Notamacropus eugenii: one gene and its partners. The protein of the gene in region 1 interacts with the protein of each later gene in a biochemical or structural test. Links are inferred from orthologs where the notes say so. Each region holds a gene or a part of one and is shown in the gene's direction. Other genes may lie near its edges.

What was found.
Region 2: the proteins of RAB6A (region 1) and KIF20A form a complex in vitro, tested with the Homo sapiens proteins (2 studies listed by BioGRID). The link is inferred for Notamacropus eugenii from reciprocal best matches to the Homo sapiens genes RAB6A and KIF20A.
Region 3: the proteins of RAB6A (region 1) and BICD1 form a complex in vitro, tested with the Homo sapiens proteins (3 studies listed by BioGRID). The link is inferred for Notamacropus eugenii from reciprocal best matches to the Homo sapiens genes RAB6A and BICD1.

The regions. Positions count from the first base shown.
Region 1 is NC_092876.1:131,569,987-131,577,099, forward strand, and holds the start of RAB6A (ras-related protein Rab-6A), read left to right. Parts: upstream 1-4,218; 5' UTR 4,219-4,404; coding exon of another isoform or gene 4,405-4,849; coding exon 4,850-4,919; intron 4,920-7,113. Other genes in the region: uncharacterized protein, read right to left, coding at 3,676-4,218, 4,405-4,851. UniProt on the Homo sapiens protein: The small GTPases Rab are key regulators of intracellular membrane trafficking, from the formation of transport vesicles to their fusion with membranes.
Region 2 is NC_092872.1:365,308,807-365,315,992, forward strand, and holds the start of KIF20A (kinesin-like protein KIF20A), read left to right. Parts: upstream 1-4,172; 5' UTR 4,173-4,293; intron 4,294-4,641; 5' UTR 4,642-4,662; coding exon 4,663-4,830; intron 4,831-5,173; coding exon 5,174-5,260; intron 5,261-5,356; coding exon 5,357-5,476; intron 5,477-6,078; coding exon 6,079-6,217; intron 6,218-6,318; coding exon 6,319-6,506; intron 6,507-6,589; coding exon 6,590-6,737; intron 6,738-7,035; coding exon 7,036-7,186. Other genes in the region: BRD8 (bromodomain-containing protein 8), read right to left, coding at 294-363, 2,235-2,331, 2,840-2,930. UniProt on the Homo sapiens protein: Mitotic kinesin required for chromosome passenger complex (CPC)-mediated cytokinesis. Following phosphorylation by PLK1, involved in recruitment of PLK1 to the central spindle. Interacts with guanosine triphosphate (GTP)-bound forms of RAB6A and RAB6B.
Region 3 is NC_092874.1:215,033,332-215,040,803, reverse strand, and holds the start of BICD1 (protein bicaudal D homolog 1), read left to right. Parts: upstream 1-4,458; 5' UTR 4,459-5,099; coding exon 5,100-5,312; intron 5,313-7,472. UniProt on the Homo sapiens protein: Regulates coat complex coatomer protein I (COPI)-independent Golgi-endoplasmic reticulum transport by recruiting the dynein-dynactin motor complex.

The DNA.
Region 1 (7,113 bases):
CCCCACCCTCCTACACCCCTGCTTATCCCCTTCTTTCCTGTAATATAAGATAGATTTTCATAGCAAATTGAGTATGCATGTTACTCCCTCCTTAAGTCAAATGTGATGAGAATAAGGTTCACTTTTTCCCCTCTCACCTCCCTTCTCTTCCCTTCCATTGAAAAAGCTTTTTCTTGCTTCTTTTATGTGAGAGATAATTTGCCTCATTCTATTTTTCCCTTTCTCCTCCCAATATATTCCTCTCATACCTTAATTTTATTTTTTTAGATATCATCCCTTCCTATTCAACTTAACCTGTACCCTCTGTCTATATGTATATAATTCCTCCAATTACCCTAGTACTGAGAAAAGTTTCAAGACTTACAAATATTATCTCTCCAGTTCAACTATAGTAAGTCCCTTATGATTTGCCTTTCCTGTTTACCTTTTCATGCTTCTCTTGATTCTTGTGTTTGAAAATCAAATTTTCTATTCAGCTCTGGTATTTTCATCAAGAATGCTTGAAAGTCCTTGATTTTATTGAAAAACCATTTTTTCCCCTGAAGTATTATACTCAGTTTTGCTGGGTAGGTGATTCTTGGTTTTAGTCCTAGTTCCTTTAACTTCTGGAATATCATATTCCAAGTCCTTTGATCCCTTAATGTAGAAGCTGCTAGATCTTTTGTTATCCTGATTGTATTTCCACAACACTTGAATTGTTTCTTTCTAGCTGCTTGCAATATTTTCTCTTTGACCTGGGAGCTCTGGAATTTGTCTACAGTATTCCTAAGAGTTTTCCTTTTGGGATCTTTTTCAGGAGACGATCAGTGCATTCTTTCAATGTTTATTTTACCCTCTGGTTCTAGAATATCAGGGCAGTTTTCCTTGATAATTTCTTGAAAGATGATGTCTAGGCTTTTTTTCTGATCATGGCTTTCAGGTAGTCCCATAATTTTTAAATTGTCTGTCCTGGATCTATTTTCCAGGTCAGTTGTTTTTCCAATGAGATATTTCACATTGTCTGCTATTTTTTCATTCCTCTGGTTTTGTTTTATAATTTCTTGTTTTTTCATAGTCATTAGCTTCCATATGCTCCATTCTAATCTTTAAGGAATTATTTTCTTCAGTGAGCTTTTGGACCTCATTTTCCATCTAGACAATTCTGCTTTATAGGGCATTCTTCTCTTCATTGGCTTTTTGGATCTCTTTTTTCATTTGGGTTGGTCTATTTTTTACAGTGTTATTTTCATCAGCATTTTTTTGGGTCTCCTTAAGCAAGTGGTTGACTCGTTTTTCATAATTTTCTTGCATCACTCTCATTTCTCTTCCCAATTTTTGTTCTACTTCTCTTACTTGATTTTCAAAATTCTTTTTGAGCTCTTCCATGGCCTGAGACCAATTCATATTTTTCTTGGAGGCTTTGGATGGAGGGGTTTTGACTTTACTGTCTTTTGTTTGCATGTTTTGGTCTTCCTTATCACCAAAGTAAGATTCTATAGTCTGATTCTTTTTTCAGTTTTTGCCCATTTCCCCAGCCATTTATTTGACTTTTGAGCTTTTTGTCAAGGTTGATCTCTGCTTCCAGTGGGGGTGGGGGGTGTACTGTCAGTAGCTCGATTCCCCCACAGTCAGTGGGCCTAGAGCTCCAGAAACAGTTGCTGTCTCTGCCCCTACTGCTGGGAGTTCCTCCACCCCCTTCCCTCTCTGCTGCCCTGGGGCTGGGGCCAGATCATTCCACTCTCCCACACTGGTCCTACAGGCTTTCTCTTTTTCCACTGAACTTCCAATTTGTCCTTGGCATTTTGGGGTCTTGAAGTCTGGAAACTGTCACAGATATGAGAGACTCAGTCTCCCCAAGGCCTGCTCAGGTCCTGTCTGTGCCAGCGTGGCCCACACTGCACTGCGTCCTGCCCCCAGAGTGGTGCAATAGACACTTCTCAGCCACCTTCCAGGCTGTCTTGGGCTGGAGATTTGCTTCATTCCATCATTCTGTGGGCTCCGAAGCTCCAGAATTGGTTTAGAGTCAGTTTACTGGTATTTAGCTGGGCTTGGGAGCAGCACTCTAGAAAGTGTGTGCCGTTACTCAACCATCTTGGCTTGGCCCTGTTGTTACACTTATAACACAGAATGCCAGACCTGGAAGGACCCTTAGCCATAGTTGGGAGGGACCTTAGAACACTGAGTATGAGAGCTGTTAGGGACTTCAAAACAGAGAATGTCAGAAGTGAAAGGTGGCTTAGAACATAGAATGTCAGAGCTGGGAGAGACCTTAGAACACAGAATGTCAGAGCTGGGAAGTCCTTTATTTCAGTAATATCCAATTTAAATAGAAACAGGGGGCACACATACATATATGAGGATTTCTACGTGTCCTATATTGACTTAAGTTTTAAAATGTAATGGCATCTGTTTTGTTGTATTTTTATGTATTTTGCTAAGTATTTCCCAATTACATTTTAATGGAACTGTGATAGGCTGCTTGTGGCCTAGGACCTATGTGTTTCGACACCTCAGCTTTAGAACAAAGAATGTCAGAACTAGACCCTCTCATATTACAGAGAAATAAAGTGATGATGTTTGGTGGGGCAGCTATATGGGGAAACAGATAGAGCATTGGCCCTGGAGTCAGGAAGACTCATCTTTGAGGCCTCAGATCTTTACTAGCAGTGCCATCCTGCGCAAATCACTTAAGCCTGTTGGCCTCAGTTTCCTCATCTATAAAATGAGCTGAAGAAGGAAATGGCAAACTGCTCTATAATCTTTGCCCAGAAAACCCCAAATGGGGTCACGATGAATTGGAAAGGACTAAACAATGACAACTATATTGTTGGCACAGCTCTAGGTGCTGGGGGATGCGGTTTAGGGTTGCTGGGAACCCTGAAATGTCAGGGTGCAGAGAGGTGTCTGCCTGGAAAGAATCACACACTCACACCATCTTTTAGTCAAAATGGCAAGGTTTATTGTAACACCAAAAGTGGTGGTGAGATTCTTAGTGAATCTGCAACTTAATGGGGGGTGGGCGGGGAATGATGGTTAGGATAAAAAGGACGGTGAAAGGACAAGGATGGTGTTAGGGAGTAGTCTGAGTGATCTCGCTGAGCTTGGGTGAGCCAGATGCTTTGGTGTAGGCACCAGTGATCTGGGCTACTGAAACGTATCGGAAAATTCAGGGACTGGGTTGCTTCCAAGGGCATGGTCTGTTCCTTTTAGGGGTCCAAGTCCCATCACCCCATCACTGAGGATGCATTAAAAGGCAGTCTCCTCTTTCCGGGAACTCCGTCTGTAAAGGCAGAGACAGCGTGCAAACAATTACGTACAAACGGATTATTTGGACAGTTGTCGGGAACCTGGAGGAGGGGACCGGTGGTAGGGAGACCAGTGGAGGGGTACCAAGAGTCCAGAAGAGGTGGCTGGAGACTGAAATAGTCACTGGGGGTCTACAGCGTTTAGGAGACGGAGAGGCAGGAGAGGCTTGTGAGAAGATGGGGTGGGGGAGTCCCATGGGGAGAGGGACTGATTTTAGGGGCGCTGTGGGGAAGGGCAGCCAGAGGACAGGATGGAGTAGCTATCTCGGTCCAGAATGGGCTGGCTAGCCCAAGTAGAAAGGGAGACCCGGTGGAGCGAGGGATTTACTCTAAAGGAAAGGGTGTGGGGAATGGGATACGTAGAGTGATACCGGCGAATACTGACGTCACGCTAACGTTTGCGAGGCCAGAGCGTAGACATGCGATGCAGCGGAGGGAGGGGGGAGTGGGAGATCCTGGCGCACGTGGCCCCGGGCGCCAGGCCCTGGCTAGGCCTCTGGCGGTAACCGGCGGGGGAAGGGACGCTGCAGCCCTGCTTCTCGGCGGGGCTGGAGTCCACCTGAGATAACGCACGTGTTAAGGCGGTTGGCAAACTTCTGAATGGCAGCATTATTAGGATTATTTCCGGGGGCTGGGCGCAGACGATGGGCGGGTCGGTGGGGGGGGGCGGAGGAGGCGAGCGAGGAATCCGAGGCCCGACTCCCAGACAGCGGGGCTGGAGGTGGGGTGTCCACAGGTGGCACGCCCCCGCCGCCGTTGGAACCGTTCGGACCTCCCGCCGGTCTCGGCCAGGCCCCGCCCTCCCGCCACACTCTTCATGGCCGCCCTGGCGCGCGCCGCCGCCTCTGCCCCCGCCGGCGCTGAGCCGCTGGCTCTGCGTGTGTCCTCTGCCCTCTCCTTTCGCGCTGTCATTGGGCAAATTCACCTCGGTCACCTTCTATTGGCCCGCTGGGTGTGGCGTCAGCTTCTTCCTCCCTTGCTCCTCCTTTCCCTCCGCCCTCCGCCCTCCGCCCCGCCCCCTCCCCACGCCCGTCCACTCCTCCTCCCTTTCTCCTCGCCAGTCCCATTCTCCCCACTTTTCCACTTAGGGTCGGCGTAGGTGGCTGGCCCGGGAGCCAACGCCGAACCTGGGAAACTGGGGAGCAAGCGCGCTCCCGACCACCAGCCCCGCCCGTGCTCGCGCACGCACGCGGCACGTCACGCTGTCGCGCTCGCGCGCCTCAGCGGAGAGGCTCGCGCACTTGAGCAGGTTCGGCTGCGGCGGCGGATCTCCAGGCTCTCTGGGAAAAGGGGGCGAGGAGTGGCTGCGGCGCTGTCCGTCCCTCTGCTCCTCTCCCTCGGGTAGCTTGTGGTGCGGAAGGGCGGCGCCGACCGCCGCTCCTGTCGAGCCGTACGAGGCCGACTCCGACCCCACCCCCATCTCCTGGTCGGTCCGTCCGTCTCCACCCGCATCTTTGCAGGATCCCCCCCGCTTCCTGCCGCTCCTCCGCCCTACGTGTCTGGGCTGCGGGGAGCCCGCGGGGCCTAAGGAGATCGCTGGGTGAGGCGGCGGCCCCGGCTCCATCATGTCTGCCGGAGGGGACTTCGGGAACCCCCTGAGGAAATTCAAGCTGGTGTTCCTGGGGGAGCAGAGCGGTGAGTGCCCCCCGCTCCGGCTGCGCTGCTGCTGCCCCCGCGGCCTCCGGCCGTGCGTCTGCTGCCCGCCCCCCGCCTCTCCCTCCTCCCTTCCCGGCTTCTCCCGGGCCTGAGCTCCGCCTCGGCCCTCCGCTCCCCGACTCCTTCCCCTTCGGGCGCAGACTCCGAGGCCCTACTGTGTGCGGGTGGCTGCCAGGCCCGGGCGCCCCCGCTTCCTCCGAGTGCCGCACTCAGTCCTCCTCGGACCCCTGCCCCGTCCTTCCCCGTCTCTCCTTTCTCGGCCCTTATCGGAGTTCCAGAGTCTAGGTCTCTTCTCTGTCTCTATTTCCCTGGGCCCTCCCCTTGGGCCTGGGAGCCCGGCGCCTTTATGCGACCCGCGGAAGGTGGAGGCTGGTCGGGATCGGGTGGGATCTGGGCGTTGCCCCTTCCTCCCTCGCCCTCCTTTGGCCTTTGGAACTGAGGATCGAGTCGTCCGTGCCTGAGGATGGGGCGGGGGCTGGAACGTCTTTGGATCGCTCTCTCCCCGGGGGGTTGGAGCAAAAATCTCCTGGAATCGGCCGTGATGTCGGGGTTTTTGTAGGCGGCACTGCCCTTGGACGTGGAAGGGTTAGGCAGCGACGTGCTAAACATCTCAGAATTCTTCTCTTGACTTTCCATTTCCTCACTTAGGATTTTTGGGTAGTTTTGATTGCTTCCCCCCCCCTTCTCCCATCGCCGCCTGGTGCCTTGTCATGATCCATTTACTTGGAATTTCTCACCTTTCTTTTTCGCTTTCTCTCCTCCCGACATCAACTAGTGTCTGATTCTCCTACCCACAGGAACCCATGGATAATCATCAGTTATTTCTATTAGAGTGTTTTCCAGTTATAAATATGTTGAGGATTCTTGGGAGAGATGGTTTGGTACAAGTTCTGTTGGGGAAAAAATTAACAGCTAACTAACGTCTTTTTTGAGGGGATAGGAAGGGATGAAGAAGAGTGTCAATGATCTCGTTATTTAAATTTTAAGAAGTGATACTTAGCTGAAATTTTAAGTGGCTTAAGTCTTAAGTATTAATAATTCCACAAATAAGATTCCCTTTTGGTATTTGCCTAGGTTAGTTCTCTGAATTAGGCTACAAAGTTTTAATTTTGTAATGGTTGTCTTTAAGGTTACTATTTGTAGCAATTTGTTGTATGTCAGTTTTATAGCATTGATACCTAGTTATTTATTGGGAGATAAGAAGGATTATATATCACCTATTTCTTCATTAACCAGTTTCTCCCATTTTTATCTTTAAGAGTCAAGTTGTTGGGAAAATTAGTGTTTGCCATAGAAAAAACATGTTAATACTAAATTCAGAAATATAATTTTCGCCTACAAAAACTTCTGTAGCCCCCAAATGGATTAGCATCAGTTGAATAGTATCTGTCAAATTTTTGTACCTCATTCTATGAAACCAGTCCAGACTGTTTTTTCTTCCTTTATGTGCAAATTGTTCTTATGTAGTGAACAGAGAAAATGTTTGGCTTATAAATTTACAGGAAGCAAGTTTAGACTTGTTTTCCAGTGAGTTACCTGGTATTAGTATGTATGAAGTTCCTGATCCTGCCATTTTATAGCATTTTTAGGCTTAGTATGAGTATAAAATAACCTACTCAAGTAAATATTGATGTGTAGACTGTAAAGTGCCTCTTGTGCACTCTGAGGATGCCATTGCTTGCCTCTTGGTGTGATGCAAAGCTATTTAGTTTGCTTGAAAAAGCCATTAATTTATGTCTCTCCAAGGAAAATTTTAGCCTCAAGTGTACCTGTCTTTTTTACTATTAAAATATGAGCAGGTTTCATTTGAATTTTGGGGATGATGCTATTTTGATTCACGCTGCATATTTTAGGGCCTTAAATTCTTCAACTTAGTCTAAATTGATCATATTTTTCTTTGTAGGCTCATGTTTTTTATCTTAAAAAAATTTTAAGTTATGTGTTATTTTGAGGTGAAACTATAGCTGTTTTCAATTTAACAGGAACAATTTGGGTTCTCAAGGCACATTTGCTTTCTTCTCCTCTGTTAGCAAAAGCTTTCTGAATCCATGGTACTATTTTTGTGATGACGAATTACTTTTAAGTCTTAGAATTCCAAAATTCAGTTTCTAGTTATCCTGTTGATACATTATACTAGAGTGTGCTATGTTTCATATCATATAATAGCTCAGTA
Region 2 (7,186 bases), on another chromosome or scaffold:
TTGGTGGTGGGAAAGAGAGATGTTAGATTTTGGTTAATTGAAAAAAAAAAGTTAATTAAAAAAAAAAAGGACCCAAGACTGTAAAACTGGGTAAATGGAAAAATAGTAGTACCCTCAATACAAACAGGTAAATTTGAAGGAGGGGTAACAAGGAAATAAAAGGCAATTTTCACTGATCTACAGTAAAAGTGCATAACTTTAAATTCTCTCAATAAGGCAAAGGTCTTCCGGTTAAATTAATAGGACTGGGTACGGAAAGACTGCTATAGAAGGACACTATCCCTGGAGCTTACTTTCTGAGAGAACCAGTCAGGAGGTCGGCCAGGTTCAGCAAAGGGCTTGATTGCTCTGCTAACTGACACCCTACAAAAAAAGAAAAAAATAAGGACCTTCAAAGCATCAGTCTTGGACCACAACATACTATAAAACTCCATCATGAGAGGACAAAAGATATGCTGGTAATTTCAGGTCCACAGGTTAGGAGCCACACTTTTAAAACCAAAAGGAGTACAGTTAGGAACAGCGAAGGAACAGACTTTGAATATGGGAGTAAATAAACAACGTAAAAGTCATTTAGAATGAAAAGAACATTCCTCAGTAGAACTTCTAGATGAGAAAGAGAAAGAATAGGTACCTAATGCTCTATCAGTTTGGGGAATGTGTCAGTATTCTTATTGTTATGACTCAAATGCCTTAAAAATAAATAAGTATAGTGTCAGTTCAAACTACTTCACTAGACATTTTGTGAAAAGCTGGGTTGGATTTTATACTGCAGTCAAGTTAAATATATGAGTATGCTGGGTTTAACAAACTGGCACAGTTTATTGTTTATTCTAGTCTTTGGTTCTGTTATCACTTGAGGGTTTACAAAGAAATTTCCTCACAATAACCCTGTGAGGCAAATAATACAAGTATTATCATGCTCCTTTTAAGGATGAGAAAACTAAAGCTCACAGAGTGGGGTTTGCCCCGATTACACAAAGGTGACAGAACTAGGATTCAGCCTCTGATCGGACCAAAACTACCCAAAAACAAACACAGCGTCTCTGCACCACATTACACTCTCAACTCGATGCACGATGCGCATCAACAACAGCCAACAGCGCCATCACACCCCCATGTGTAACAGCTTACATTTACATAGTGCTTTCCGGTTTCCAAAGCAATTGCCTCCCAACACTCTTTTAATATAGGGGGTTTACAAGTACCATTATCCCATCTTGCAGATTTAGGGCAGTCGTTACTAGGCTTTGTACCTGAAGACCCCTTTTTAATGTAAAATAAATCCACTTTTTTGTGACATTAATTTTAACATTAACATATAATGACTGAGAAATTACCTAATGACTAAAAGATACGAAGAAATCAGAAACATTTCTACAACTGGCATTTTATTAATCCCTGAAGCATCTGGATATATTTGAAATACCCCGTATTTACAACCATTACACAGGAGCTTCTGGAACGAAAGGCAATGCTTTTATACGTATGGATTTACAGACAGATACCCGGGAATCACTTCATGTGTTCATAAGTAGGGCACCACTAGATTAGGAGGTACCACAGCTGTGGTTTTTAACTAAGCCCAGGGTCACCAAGTTCATCAATATTCATTTAAGCAGGAAATCAGGCCCAGATCTTTTGACTTCAAGGTCAGTAGATTTTCCATTACATTATGAAGATAAGGGATGGCTCCTGAACTGTTGCTACTTACAAGGTAGAGAGTGACTGATATTAATCTCTACCACCACTGGACATGCTTCTACAAATACAGGGGAAGCAGTTCTCAAGTTTTTCATTACAAGATTCCATCTAAGGGCCCAGGTAAACACCAGAAAGCAAGCAAAGTTTCCTGTAGAGAACAATATCTTCTACTTAATGAGTGACTGAGTTCTCATTTAAACTAATGGTATAACTCCAAAATTGGAATCAGATTGAGGAAGAAAAAAATTCTAAAAATTGTATTTTAACTATTAACAGAAAGAGCAGACAATTAGTCAAGAAGGTGCTCATTCTTTTCTGAAAATCACAAAAAGGCTAAACTAAATCTTAAGATTCAAGACCCTTCTCTTTTACTCCCCTGGAACTTCACAATAGTCTGAGATAATGGTTAAGGATTTACACTATCTCCTGGCTCCTATGGCTCAACTAACCCCCGAGTACAGGAAAGCCTCCCAATAATTTCAATGTCCCAAGCTCCTGCTATCCTACATTTGATATCCCAAGTATCTTACCAGTTTTGATCTCCACTCCTCATGACAGAGGAGGCTAGACACAGCTTCTCCCGAATAGACCAGGGTTCTGTGGGGCCAGTACTCAGCAGCTTGTGTTCTGTAGAAAGAGGAAACTCAGTGAGAGTCCATTGAGAAGACACCAATCCCAGGCAAAGGTCTAACACTATTCCAATCAAGTGAACTAAACCAGATTGGTCTCAATACAACTCTTTACATCAAAAATTGGGTAGCAACCCACTGTGGACCAGGACCTGCTCTATGCCTTCAAATCTCAACAATCCACCTTAAGAATAAGGTAAAGAAGCAGTTGAGTAAGACCTTAGAAATCATCTAGTCCAGGGGTTCTTAACTTTTTGTGTCTCAGACCCCTTTGGCAGTCTGGAGAAACCTTTGGCTCCCCTTCTCAGAATTTTTTAAATGCATAAAATAAAAAGGAAATCAAATATCAAGGAAAACAAATATCAATTTTTTAATCCAAATTCAAAACCTTCTTGAAATCTATTTAAGGCCCTATCCATAAATTCCAAATTAAAAGCCCCTGGTTCTAGCCCAATCGCCTTATTTTACAGTTGAAAAAAAAGGAGGCTAAATCATTTGCCCACTACCTCTCACACTTCGTAAGCAGCAGAGCTGGGATTTGAACCCAAGCCCTTCTAACTCCATAGTCTGGACTCTTTCAGGTGTACCACAATGCATCTGGTCCACCAACGCCTCTTTTACCTCTCAGTTTACAGTTTAGGAAACTGAGGCCTAAAGATCGCAAGCTATAGGTCTAAAAAATGACAGTAATCAAATCCAGGCTAGCACCCAGGCCTCCTGAATCCGAGCCTTATAATCTTTCCACTGCAGGGAACGTTGTTGTTTTTCAAAAAGCGGGGGGAAAAAAAAGAGGGGTGGGCCGCCTAACGTCTAAGCGGCCCTCCCAGCTCTAAAATCTGTCTACGCCACTCCGGATAGAAAGCTCGGCCCCCCCCGCAGAGACGCACAAGGCAGGCCTGGCTCCCGCGCTACACGCCTCACTAAGAAACCTGAGCCGCTCCCCGCAGACCAGGCCGCAGGAGGCCTCGCCCCGCCCAAGCTGCGGGAACGCGGCACTCAGACGGGGGAGGCAGGGAGGGAGGGGCGAGGGCAGATAGAGGCCTCCATCCACCGGTCTCTCCGGCGCTCGAAGCCTCGCTGCCCCGCCCCCTCCCCCTGGGGCTCCGCACACGACCCAGGCCCCTCCATAAACAAGCCCTCTTCGGCGGCCCCCTCGGCAAGCTCGAGTCTCGCCTAGCGCGATCTCACAGGGCCCCCAGGCCCAGCGCTCTGCGAATCCCAACCCTCGAGCTGGAAGCGGGAAGGGGGGCGGTCGGGAGGGTTCTGCCACAACCGCCGCAGCGGCCCATCCCCGAGCAGCGCAGACACTCACTGCCCGTCCCTGTCGCCATCTTGGCCCCGACTCTTCCCCCTTCCCGAGAAGAGGCAGGTCCTTATCGGACTGCGCCCCGAAGGACTCTGGGAAATGGAGTGCGAGCCCTGAGTTGACACCACACACAACCAGATGCCCTCTGGGAAATGGAGTTTATTTGGGGTGGGTGGTGTAGAGTTGGGGAGGAGTCTCTAGTTCTCGGGCAAGCTTCTGGATAAGAAAACGGTAGGGCGAGGGATGATGGCCTCACCTTTGGGTTTCCCTTCACATTTCATGGGGGGACAGGCTGTCGGGGGTTCTTAAGGGCGGGCAGAAGCCCTGGCCCGGAGCCCGGAGCCCAAAGGCCCACGCAGCGACGGTTGGTAACCCTGCCCGCCTTCTGAGCGCCATGATTGGCGGATGTGATCTCGCCGCCGGATTGGCTGACAGAGCAGAGCGCGTCGTTTGAAACCTTGCCTCCGAAACAAAGCTGCCCCTCGTGGGTGGAGCGGAGCTGGGCTGGGGGCTGCAGGGCTAGCTGGGGCTGGAGGAACGCGGCGGCCAGCGGCGTCTTCTTCACCCTGGGAGAGTAGAGACCTGGAGCGCCAGGGGAACCCGGAGAGAGTTCCGGTACTGGAGGCCGAGCTGGGAAAGTCTTCGCGCTAACGGGTAAAGGCCTGCACTCCCCGCGGCTTGGTCCTTCGCGGGCGCCTCTCACCGGTGAACTTGACCCCGGAGCCCTTCGGCCACGGCTTCCCTAATAACCTGCCTGGGGCGAGGGGCTGGGCTGCGAGCCCCCTCTCCGAGGCCCGGTGGATGAGGGGGGGGGGTCTCCGTATCTCCCCGCAGCTAGAGCCGGAGCTCACGTGTGGGTCGGTGGTTCGGGGGGCCGAGGCTTTCCCAGGAGTGAGCCTTCTCCCGGGTCTGGGAAAGCGGAGAATGGAGGGAAGAACGGGTTCCCACCTCAGGTGTGGAAGGTGCTCGTACCCTCTCCCTGAAGCCCCTTTCCTCTCCCAGGAGGAACGCGCCACCGTGGTCATGTCTCGGGGTATCCTGACCCCGCCTGTCGGCTTCCTTTCGGATGAGGACATCGTCGTGTCGCCCGTGTTCGAATCCACTGCTGCTGATTTGGGAGTCGGGATCCAAAAGGACCTGCTGTCGGAATTCTCTGCCATCTCCCCTCCCCCGATAGAGGACAAAGAGCAGGTAAAGTCCAGCGAGATGACGCCCACTCATGCATCCCCTCCTAGCCATTCCCACGCACGCCCTCATGCAGAGGTATGCATACCTCCCCACCCTCATCTTGGTGCAGGTAACGTGCTGGCTTTTGTTGCACGTTTGTGGGTTAGGTCTTAGGAGGAAGGAGGATGTTGAGAGAGGAGGACAAATGACTTTTCTTCAGTCTCTTAGCATGAGTGTAGCAGTAGAGGGAGGTCTATACGACTTCCCTAGTGTGTCTGCTGAGTAATCCTGTGATTGCTATGATTTCAGGCTCAGAGGTAGTTGTTTAATCTAATCAGTGGGGCTCTTGGCTGGGTTTCTGCCACAGGTTGTACCTGAAGATGGTGCAGAGAAGGTAAAAGTATACTTGAGAGTCCGACCCCTGCTGCCTTCAGAGGTAGAGAGACAAGAACAGGTGAGTGCCTTGGGAAGCACACGTTATGATATGATATAAAAGGGTAATGAGACTGCCCCCTTCTCCTAACATGTTTATGTATGTTTCATTTGCTAGGGCTGTGTTCGAATCGAAAACCCAGAAACGCTTGTTCTGCAGGCACCCAAGGACTCTTTTGCTATGAGAAGCAATGAGAGAGGTGTGGGCCAAGCCACTCATAGATTCACCTTTTCCCAGGTATCAAGCTGGAAGCACTTTCAACAAGGCTGCCAGTGAGATGTATAACCAGTGGGAAAATGTTTTTCTATATGTTTGCCAAGAGGAAGATCCATAAAGTTGTTGAGTCCATAGTGGTCTGGGGAGTAATTGTTGTTGCGTTTGTCCTTCGTTCTCAAAGAAGACCATGACATAAAGATGATGACATGACTTGCAGTTGACTTTGATTTGAGTGAGGGAGGGCTGTGCCAGGTCACCAGCCTTATTTCTTCTGAGCCATCTGGGTCCAGTGGCCTGATATTCATCAGGATACAATGGGAGATCCTGGTCCTGTCTTATCACATCCTCACTTTGAGTGAGATACACCCATTCAATGTTAAGTAGTTACTCAAAGGATGGCCCCTTTAATCCAAAAAAAAAAAAATCAAACTGGGAGGGGAAGACCCTCAGGATTTCTGAGTAAAAGAGAAACAGCTATTGTTTAGTATTTAGATACCAAATAGGTCTGGGGAGTAATAGAGAGTTATGGGAGGAACTGACTTTCAGGGGTAGGGATTAGGCTGGTGGAAATGAACCTATGTTAAAAACAAGGAGGAGACTTCAAGGAACTGTATTCTTCCTAGATCTTTGGACCAGAAGTAGGACAGGCATCTTTCTTCAACCTGACAGTGAAAGAAATGGTCAGAGATGTGCTCAAAGGCTACAACTGGCTCATTTATACATATGGAGTGACTAACTCTGGAAAGACCCATACTGTCCAGGGTGAGTGAGAGTCAAAGCATCATGAAATTCTGGTGAGTTTCTAGAAGGATCTTTTAGCGTTTCAAGTGCTAGCACTCAGCTCTCCTTTTTTATGTTTCTAGGTAGCAACAAGGATGGAGGGATCCTACCTCGTTCTCTGGCTCTGATCTTCAATAGTATTCGAAACCAGCTCTACCCAGCCTCTGACTTGAAGCCTTCTTTTGCTAATGAAGTGATTTGGCTAGATAGCAAGCAGGTGAGGCAGGAAGAGATGAAGAAGACAGCCCTGCTGAATGGCAGCTCTCGTGAGGTCAGTACCCAGAATCGCATCAATGAAGGGCAGGAGTACTCCGAGGAAATCTTTGTATTTATTTTCTCTTGGGGTTTCTCTAGGAGGAAGTGATAAACTCTCTGAAGAAAAGCCACAACACTGAATCACTACCGCTGGGGAACAGTGCCAGTTTTGACAGTGGCATTGCTGGACTCTCTTCTACGAGCCATTTGACTAGCCAAAGCAGTGTCAGCCTCAGCCAAATGGAGGGTATATTTTTTTAACTTTAAGAAAATTTTGTCATTTCAGTGAACACAGTCTATTTTTTCCTCCTTCCCACCTCACATTGTCTTTACCCCTTACTGAAAAAAAAAAAAATCAAACCCTTGTAAGAAGTCCTTGTGAAAGGCATGTTTTTAAACTTACCTCTACAAGTACATTTTCTTCTGTAGAAATCCAGAGTTACTGTTATTAGGAGTGAAAGCCCAGGGTGATTCTTTGCTATTGAGACGCAAGCATGATGATCAAAGCTAGGCTTGTAGCTGACTATTTATTGTACCTTCCACAGACACATCTTGTAGATGGGCTGAGCCAGATACTGCCCCATTCTGTGTCCCAGCTGATGTCCGGTTCTCTATCTGGATCTCCTTCTTTGAGATCTATAATGAGATGATCTTTGACTTGTTGGAGCCCCCCAGCCAGCAGCGAAAGAGGCAGAC
Region 3 (7,472 bases), on another chromosome or scaffold:
GAGCAAAAACCGGAAAAAGAACCAGACTATAGAATCTTGCTTTGGTGACAAGGAAGACCAAAGAATGCAAACAGAAGAAAACAAAGTCAAAGCTCCTTCATCCAAAGCCTCCAAGAAAAGTACAAATTGATCTCAGGCCATGGAAGAGCTCAAAAATGATTTTGAAAATCAAGTAAGAGAAGTACAGCAAAAATTGGGAAGAGAAATGAGAGTGATGCAAGAAAATCATGAAAAACCAGTCAACTACTTGCTAAAGGAGACCCCAGAAATGCTGAAGAAAATAACACTTTAAAAAACAGACTAACCCAAATGACACAATAGATTCAAAAAGCCAATGAGGAGAAGAATGCCCTAAAAAGCAGAATTGGCCAGATGGAAAAGGAGGTCCAAAAGCTCACTGAAGAAAATAATTCCTTAAAGACTAGAATGGAGCAGATGGAAGCTAATGATTTTATGAAAAATCAAGATATTACAAAACAAAACCAAAGGAATGAAAAAATAGCAGACAATGTGAAATATCTCATTGTAAAAACAACTGACATGGAAAATAGATCCAGGAAAGATAATTTAAAAATTATGGGACTACCTGAAAGCCATGATCAAAAAAAGAGCCTAGACATCATCTTTCATGAAATTTAACTGTTCTGATAAACTGCCCTGATATTCTAGAACCAGAGGGTAAAATAAATATTGAAAGAATCCACCAATCCCCTCCTGAAAAAGATCACAAAAGGAAAACTCCTAGGAATATTGTAACCAAATTTCAGAGCTTCCAGGTCAAGGAGAAAATATTGCAAGCAGCCAGAAAGAAACAATTCAAGTATTGTGGAAATACAATCAGGATAACACAAGATCTAGCAGCTTCTACATTACGGGATAGAAGAGCTTGGAATATGATATTCCAGAAGTCAAGGGAACTAGGATTAAAACCAAGAATCATTTATCCAGCAAAACTGAGTATAATACTTCAGAGGAATAAATAGTCATTCAATGAAATAGAAAACTTTCAGACATTCTTGATGAAAGGACCAGAGTTGAATACAAAATCTGACTTTCAAACACAAGAATCAAGAGAAGCATGAAAAGGTAAACAGCAAAGAGAAATCATAAGGGACTCACTAAAGTGGAACTGTTTATGTTCCTATATGGAAAGATAATATTTGTAACTTTTGAGACTTTTCTCAGTATTTGGGTAGTTGGAGCGATTATATACATATAGACAGAGGGTACAGGATGAGTTGAATAGGAAGGGATGATATCTAAAAAATAAAATTAATTGGTGAAAGAGGAATATATTGGGAGGAGAGAGGGAGAAATGGAATGGGGCAAATTATCTCTCATAAAAGAGGAAAGGAAAAGCTTTTTCAATGGAGGGGAAAAGAGGGGAGATGAGAGGGAAAAAGTGAAGTTTATTCTCATCACATTTGGCTTAAGGAGGGAATAACATGCACACTCAATTTGGTATGAAAATCTATCTTATACTACAGGAAAGTAGGGGAGAAGGGGATAAGTGGGGTGTGGAGAAAGTAGGGCAAATGGGGGGAGGGGTAGAAGTAAACACTCTGGGGGAGGGACAAGGTCAAAAGAGAGAATAGAATAAATGGGGGGCAGGATAAGATGGAAGGAAATACAGTTAATTTTTTGCAACATGACTTTTACGGAAGTCTTTTGCGTAACTGCACATGTACAATCTATTTTGAATTGCTTGCCCTCTCAGTGGGGATGGGTGGGGAGGGAGGAAGGGAGAGAAGTTGAAACTCAAAGTTTTGAAAACGAATGTTAAAACTTGTTTTGTACATGCAACTGAGAAATAAGAAATACAGGTAATGGGGTATAGAAATCTATCTTGCCCTACAAGAAAATAGAGAAGATGAAGATAAGGGAAGGGAGGGATGTGACAGAACAGAAGGCAGATTGGGGAAAGGGGTAATCAGAATGCGTGGTGTCTTGGGGTGGGGAGAGGGGAGAGATGGGGAGAAAGTTTGGAACTCAAAATCTTGTGGAAATGGATGTTGAAAACTAAAAAGAAAGAAAGAAAGAAAAGGTCAGTCAGCCTCTGAAGGGCATGGTTGAGTGATGAAATTTGATCCTGGCTTTCAAGGCACAAACTTATTAGTTGGTCAGAAAACTGTTTCTTCAGGTTTTCATTCATCATGTATGTACGTACGCATGCATGCATGCATGCATGTATAGGTATCCACATCTGTATATGTATACACACAAATATATGTGTGTATACATATGTGTATACACACATGTATATACACACATGTATACATGTACACACATACATATATACACACATATATATGTATGTATATACACACATGTATACATGTACACACATACATATATACACACATATATATCTCTATATATACACAGTTAATGTCAAGCAGACCAGAACTAGCCTCTTACTTGGGAATGGCTATAGCCAAACAGAGCAGTCCAGAAGCAGGTGTGTGAAGGATTTAACAGAAGTTTAATTAATTTCAGAGTAAGGAAAACACTTGCAAGTGTAAGTCCCCCTTCCTTACCTGGGAAATAGGGCTAAACATTTTCAAGCAAAGGCAGAAAAACCACATTTTCAGGCAATGGCAGAAAAACCACAACACAATCATTCTTAGGTCTGGAGTAGCAGTTCCCACAGCAGGCTTATGTGTGGACAATGCAGGTATACCTGGGTCCTATGGGAACAGTTGTTAAGTTGATTGATCTTAAGGGTTGTTGAGCTTTGTGATTATTCAGTGGTGTACAGAACCAGAGTTAGTGTTACAAAAAACAGGGATTCTGAACATGTCACGCGATATTATGGATGGCCTCAGGCTGCAGCATGTTGGCTGTCATGTGACTGGGAAAAAGGGGGAGCTCCAACAAACAGTTATAGATTAGTATGAAAATCATAAATCCCTCAGTGAACCCTTGGTGCTGGTCAAAGCAATACACTTTGCCACAGGGCAAGATCATCCAGAGTGCAAAGGATTGTTGTTATGTCAAGCTCCAAATACTTTGACAATACAATAAAATTTACTGAGAAGGGTACTCAATAAAAAAAAAAAAACAACTTTGGAAGCCCCTGAGAGAGTGGAGGAGAAAAGCAGAAAGGAGATATGAGTGGTAGTATTGAAGGAAAAATTCTTTGTTTGGGCTTTCACCCTGATTAACGAGGGAAAATTAAGATTAAAGATAATTAAATGGAGTTTATTATAAATAAGTCAAGGTAACAACATATTATTTGTTCTTGGGCTGATTGCTGAAGACCATTGATGACTTCAAGGTGGTGTTAGTTTTGATTGATAACTTTCCTAAGGAAATACAGACAATTCAGATAGGTTAATGTCAGCAAAATAGGTTGGATCCTTGAATCTCAGTTCCTTCCTAACACAGCAAGTATAGACAATTTGCAGGTAGGGTACAAACATCACAAGAAGGGTATGTGACAAAGAGCAGGTAATGCAAAAAGCTACAGAATTGGTGTCCCCTTCCCAGTGGAGCCTCCCCCAACACTGATTGACAACCAGGGGTGGCAACAACGAATCATTGAATCAATATAACTTTCAAATGTGTGTGTGTGTGTGTGTGTGTGTGTGTGTGTGTGTGTATAATATCCACCCCAGTACATATCAAAACAAGTTTTAATATTTGGGTTTTTTTTCACGTTTTGAGTTCCAAATTCTTTCACCCTCCTCTGCCCCCCCAACTAGCTACCCTTACCCCTCCCTGAGACTGTAAGCAATCAGATATATTTTATACACGTACAATCAATCAACATAACTTTCAACAGAAGAATGGAAGAGAGAGAAGGTACAAAAAGGACTTTCCGCCAACATGGCATAATGCAAAGTGTATTGGACCCTGCAGTAGCAGAGCCCTGACTTCTAAAACCCAGATGTGACCTTTATATGAGCATGAATAAGAGCATACTTTTTTTTTAATTTGTGAAAGAGGGGATACTCCATAATAAGTACCTTAGTAGGTGGTTGTAAGGAGCAAATGAAATCACGTGTGGAAAAGTGCCTGGCAAGACTTACAGCTCTCCTAAGTGTCAGCTAATACTACGTAAGGGTGGAAGGAGAGGAGTGGAGGAGAGCTCTAAGTGTGAAAGCAGATTGAAAATCAGAATAGCGGTATTGCCCGGTGGCGGTCCCGCGTGGTAAGTCTATTTTAATCAGAGAGACGGGCAGGGGCATTTCTGCACTCGCCCAGGGTGGCTGGAGGGTTTCGCAGTCCTAGGGTTTGTTGGTCACAGAAGACCAGGAATGAATGCCAGGCAGGAGCGCCTGGCTGCGGCCAAGCTTTTTCTTACCCGGTCACTGAGTGAGGCAGCAGCAGACCCTCCGGGGCTGGCGAACACACCCCTCCCACCTCCTGCGTAGGGCCGGGCTGTCTCCCTTTCCCTCCTCTTCCTTCTCGCCCCCTTTCTTTGCCTTCTCCTCTTCCTCCCCCTTCTAGTCTCGCCCCTGGCTGTCTCCATCCCCGCCTCGGCCGGGCCCCGCCGCCGCCCCTGGCTCCTTGTCTCCTCCCACCAGGCTCTGCCAGTGGCCCCGGAGCGGCCGCCTGGGGGCTCTTCTGGGAGCCTGGAGTCTCCGGTTAGCCGCTGCCTTCCCTCCCTCCCTTCCTCCCTCCCTCCCTGCCTTCCTCCCATTCGTTTCCTTCCGGAAGGGAGGGGGCCCGGACTGCATCATTCTGCTCCGCTGCTGCAGGGCCAGAGGAGCAGGTGGAGAGGGAAGGGGAGGCTGGCGGCGGAGTGCCGAGACCGCAGTGGCGCTGCCCGGAGGGATGGCGGCCCCGAGCCTCTGAATAAGCAGAATCCACCGGCCGCAGCGCGGCACCATGCCGCGGACCGGCCCCGGCCCCCAATGAATGGTGCGGCCGCCGCAGCCTCTTCGCGAATCTTCTGCCCTTCCTTTTCCACGTTACATTTCCTTCCCAATATCCAGCCGCTGTGGTCGCTGCCGGCAGGAAAGCTCTAGGGACACGTCCATCCCTTTCGCCGCCGCCCCCCGTTATTTTCCTGCCTCCCTCTAATTCCTCCCCAGCCCCACCCCACCCCCTGCATCTTTTCTTCCCCCCTCCCGTTTCCATCCATCACTGGAGCGATGGCTGCAGAGGAGGTATTGCAGAGCGTGGATCACTATAAGACTGAGATCGAAAGGCTGACTAAGGAGCTCACGGAGACGACCCACGAGAAGATCCAGGCTGCCGAGTACGGCCTGGTGGTCCTGGAAGAGAAGCTCACCTTGAAGCAGCAGTATGATGAGTTGGAGGCGGAGTACGACGGCCTTAAGCAAGAGCTAGAGCAGCTCAAAGAGGTGAGTTCCCAATGGCCTTTCTCCTCGCCCACCATCCCCAGACCGATCCTTAAAAAACAAAGACGGGGGTACACGGAATGCATCGCTGGAAAGAACCTTGGCCTTGAGGTCAGAGGACCTGACTTCAAGTTCTACCTCTGACTTATCTGCTTGTCTACCTGTATGACCTTGGGCAAGGCACTTAACTTGCTGGGCCTCAGTTGCCTCATCTGCAAGATGAGTGAATTGGACTAGATGACCACTCAAAGGTTTCTGTGGCCCTTGATCTATGATCGTATGAGCTGACTCTTTATCTGAATGTGAGCTCAGTTAGCCAGGTGCTTTTGATAGAGTTCATTGTTTCCATGTAAGAAAAATGCCTAAGGAAATCAGTATATATCTGTATATTGGAAACATGGAGATAGGATTTGTGGGGGGAGGAGAAATTCATATTTATATTCAAGTGGAGGTATATGAAAGGATTAAGGATGATTTGGGGGTGATTAAATAAAAATTTAAAAAGCCAATGTTGTTTCTAGCCTGGATTGCAGCAAGAATCCTCTAGGTAATTAATAGATTTGAGCCTGGGGAAGTCACAACTTTAATTATTAAATTAAAAATACCTTAGTCATATATCTGAATATCCTGTTCTTTAGTCATAAGGAGAAAACATAGTATTAGTACATCACTGAAGGCTTGGCCTCTCTTTGCTTCTGTCATTCTTGTTATACTGTACAAAAGGTAAACAACTCTTACTGGTGATGATGTAGATGCCTTGTTTTCACCATTGAGTGAGGTAGCACTCTTCAGTGTGGGCAAAGCTTCAAAGTAGAGATGAGGTCATCCTGCCCAGTAAAAATTAAACTTCAGAACAAATGACCTGAAGAAAACATAAATCTTGAACTGGGATGTAACTGTGAAGTGTAGCTTTACATTTTAAATGAGGTTATCAATTAGAAATAAGGAATTGATAGAGAGAGAGATTGGACCTGTGCTTTCATGGATACAGGGAATTCCCAGATGAAGAAACTCCCTCTATCAATGGAGGAAGGCTTCTCTGTAACTTATCTTCTTAGAGTGTTACCTACAATACCGAAAGGTTAAGAGACTTTCCAGGGTAATTTAACTTGCCCACTTGCTATACCACCATTACTCTATAGGGTAGTAAGTAGTATTTGATGCCCTCACTCCTTCCTCCACCCCTTCCTTTATAGCTCTATCTGCATAACCTCTCCTAAGGTATCAATAAAACCATAATATTACAGATGGAGTATGTATAACTCTCGTTCTACCTAATATTTGGATGATTTGAAGTTTTATTTTCAGCCTAGACTTAGTTTCTTTGCATATGGGCAACAGTTCTACAACTTAAAGGACTAGAGAATTGCGTGGGATTTCAGGTTTCAGTGACTTGTCCAACTTTAAGTAGTTAGTATGTGTCTGAAGAGGAGCTTGAACTCAGGTCCAGCTCAAGCCATTTCTTTACCTATGTCTTTTTTTGTGTATTATTCAATAAAATGTAGCATGTTGGAAAAATACAATGCAATATCAGTCAATTTTTGATCAAGCCTTTTAAGCAATTTTATGGTAAAATTTTTGTAGTTTAGGTAAACTAATGCAAAAACTCCATGCAAAAAAAATTCATGGGACTCCGGAAACTTTCTTGCAACACACTTATTTTTACACAGACATTTCCTATTTGACAGATATTCTTACCTGTATTATGTGTGTGTATGCATATGTATACATATATATGCATGTTATTTATTATGTGCCAGCCACTATACAAATATTATTTTATCCACAGCCCTGGTAGGTAGTTTCTATTGCTATCATTCCCATTTTACAGTTGAGAAAAATGAGGCAAATGGAGGTTGAGGGTCTGAGGCTAGATTTGAACACAAGTCTTACACCTGACCTAGCACAGTATCCATTGTACTATCTAGTTGTTATTTGGTAAATGTTTGTTGAATTGAATTGTATTAGGAAATAAATTTTTAAAAGTATGAAGGCAAAAATTTGAAAAACTAAGCAAATCATTTTCACCATAGACAGAAATGAGAAAAAAAGGATCAGTTTAAGGGTTTAAAGATGAGTTAAACATTATGATTTAAAAAAAAATAATGAATGACTTGTGGAAACATACTAGTCCTCTTTCCCATATTTACTCTTTTAAAAATA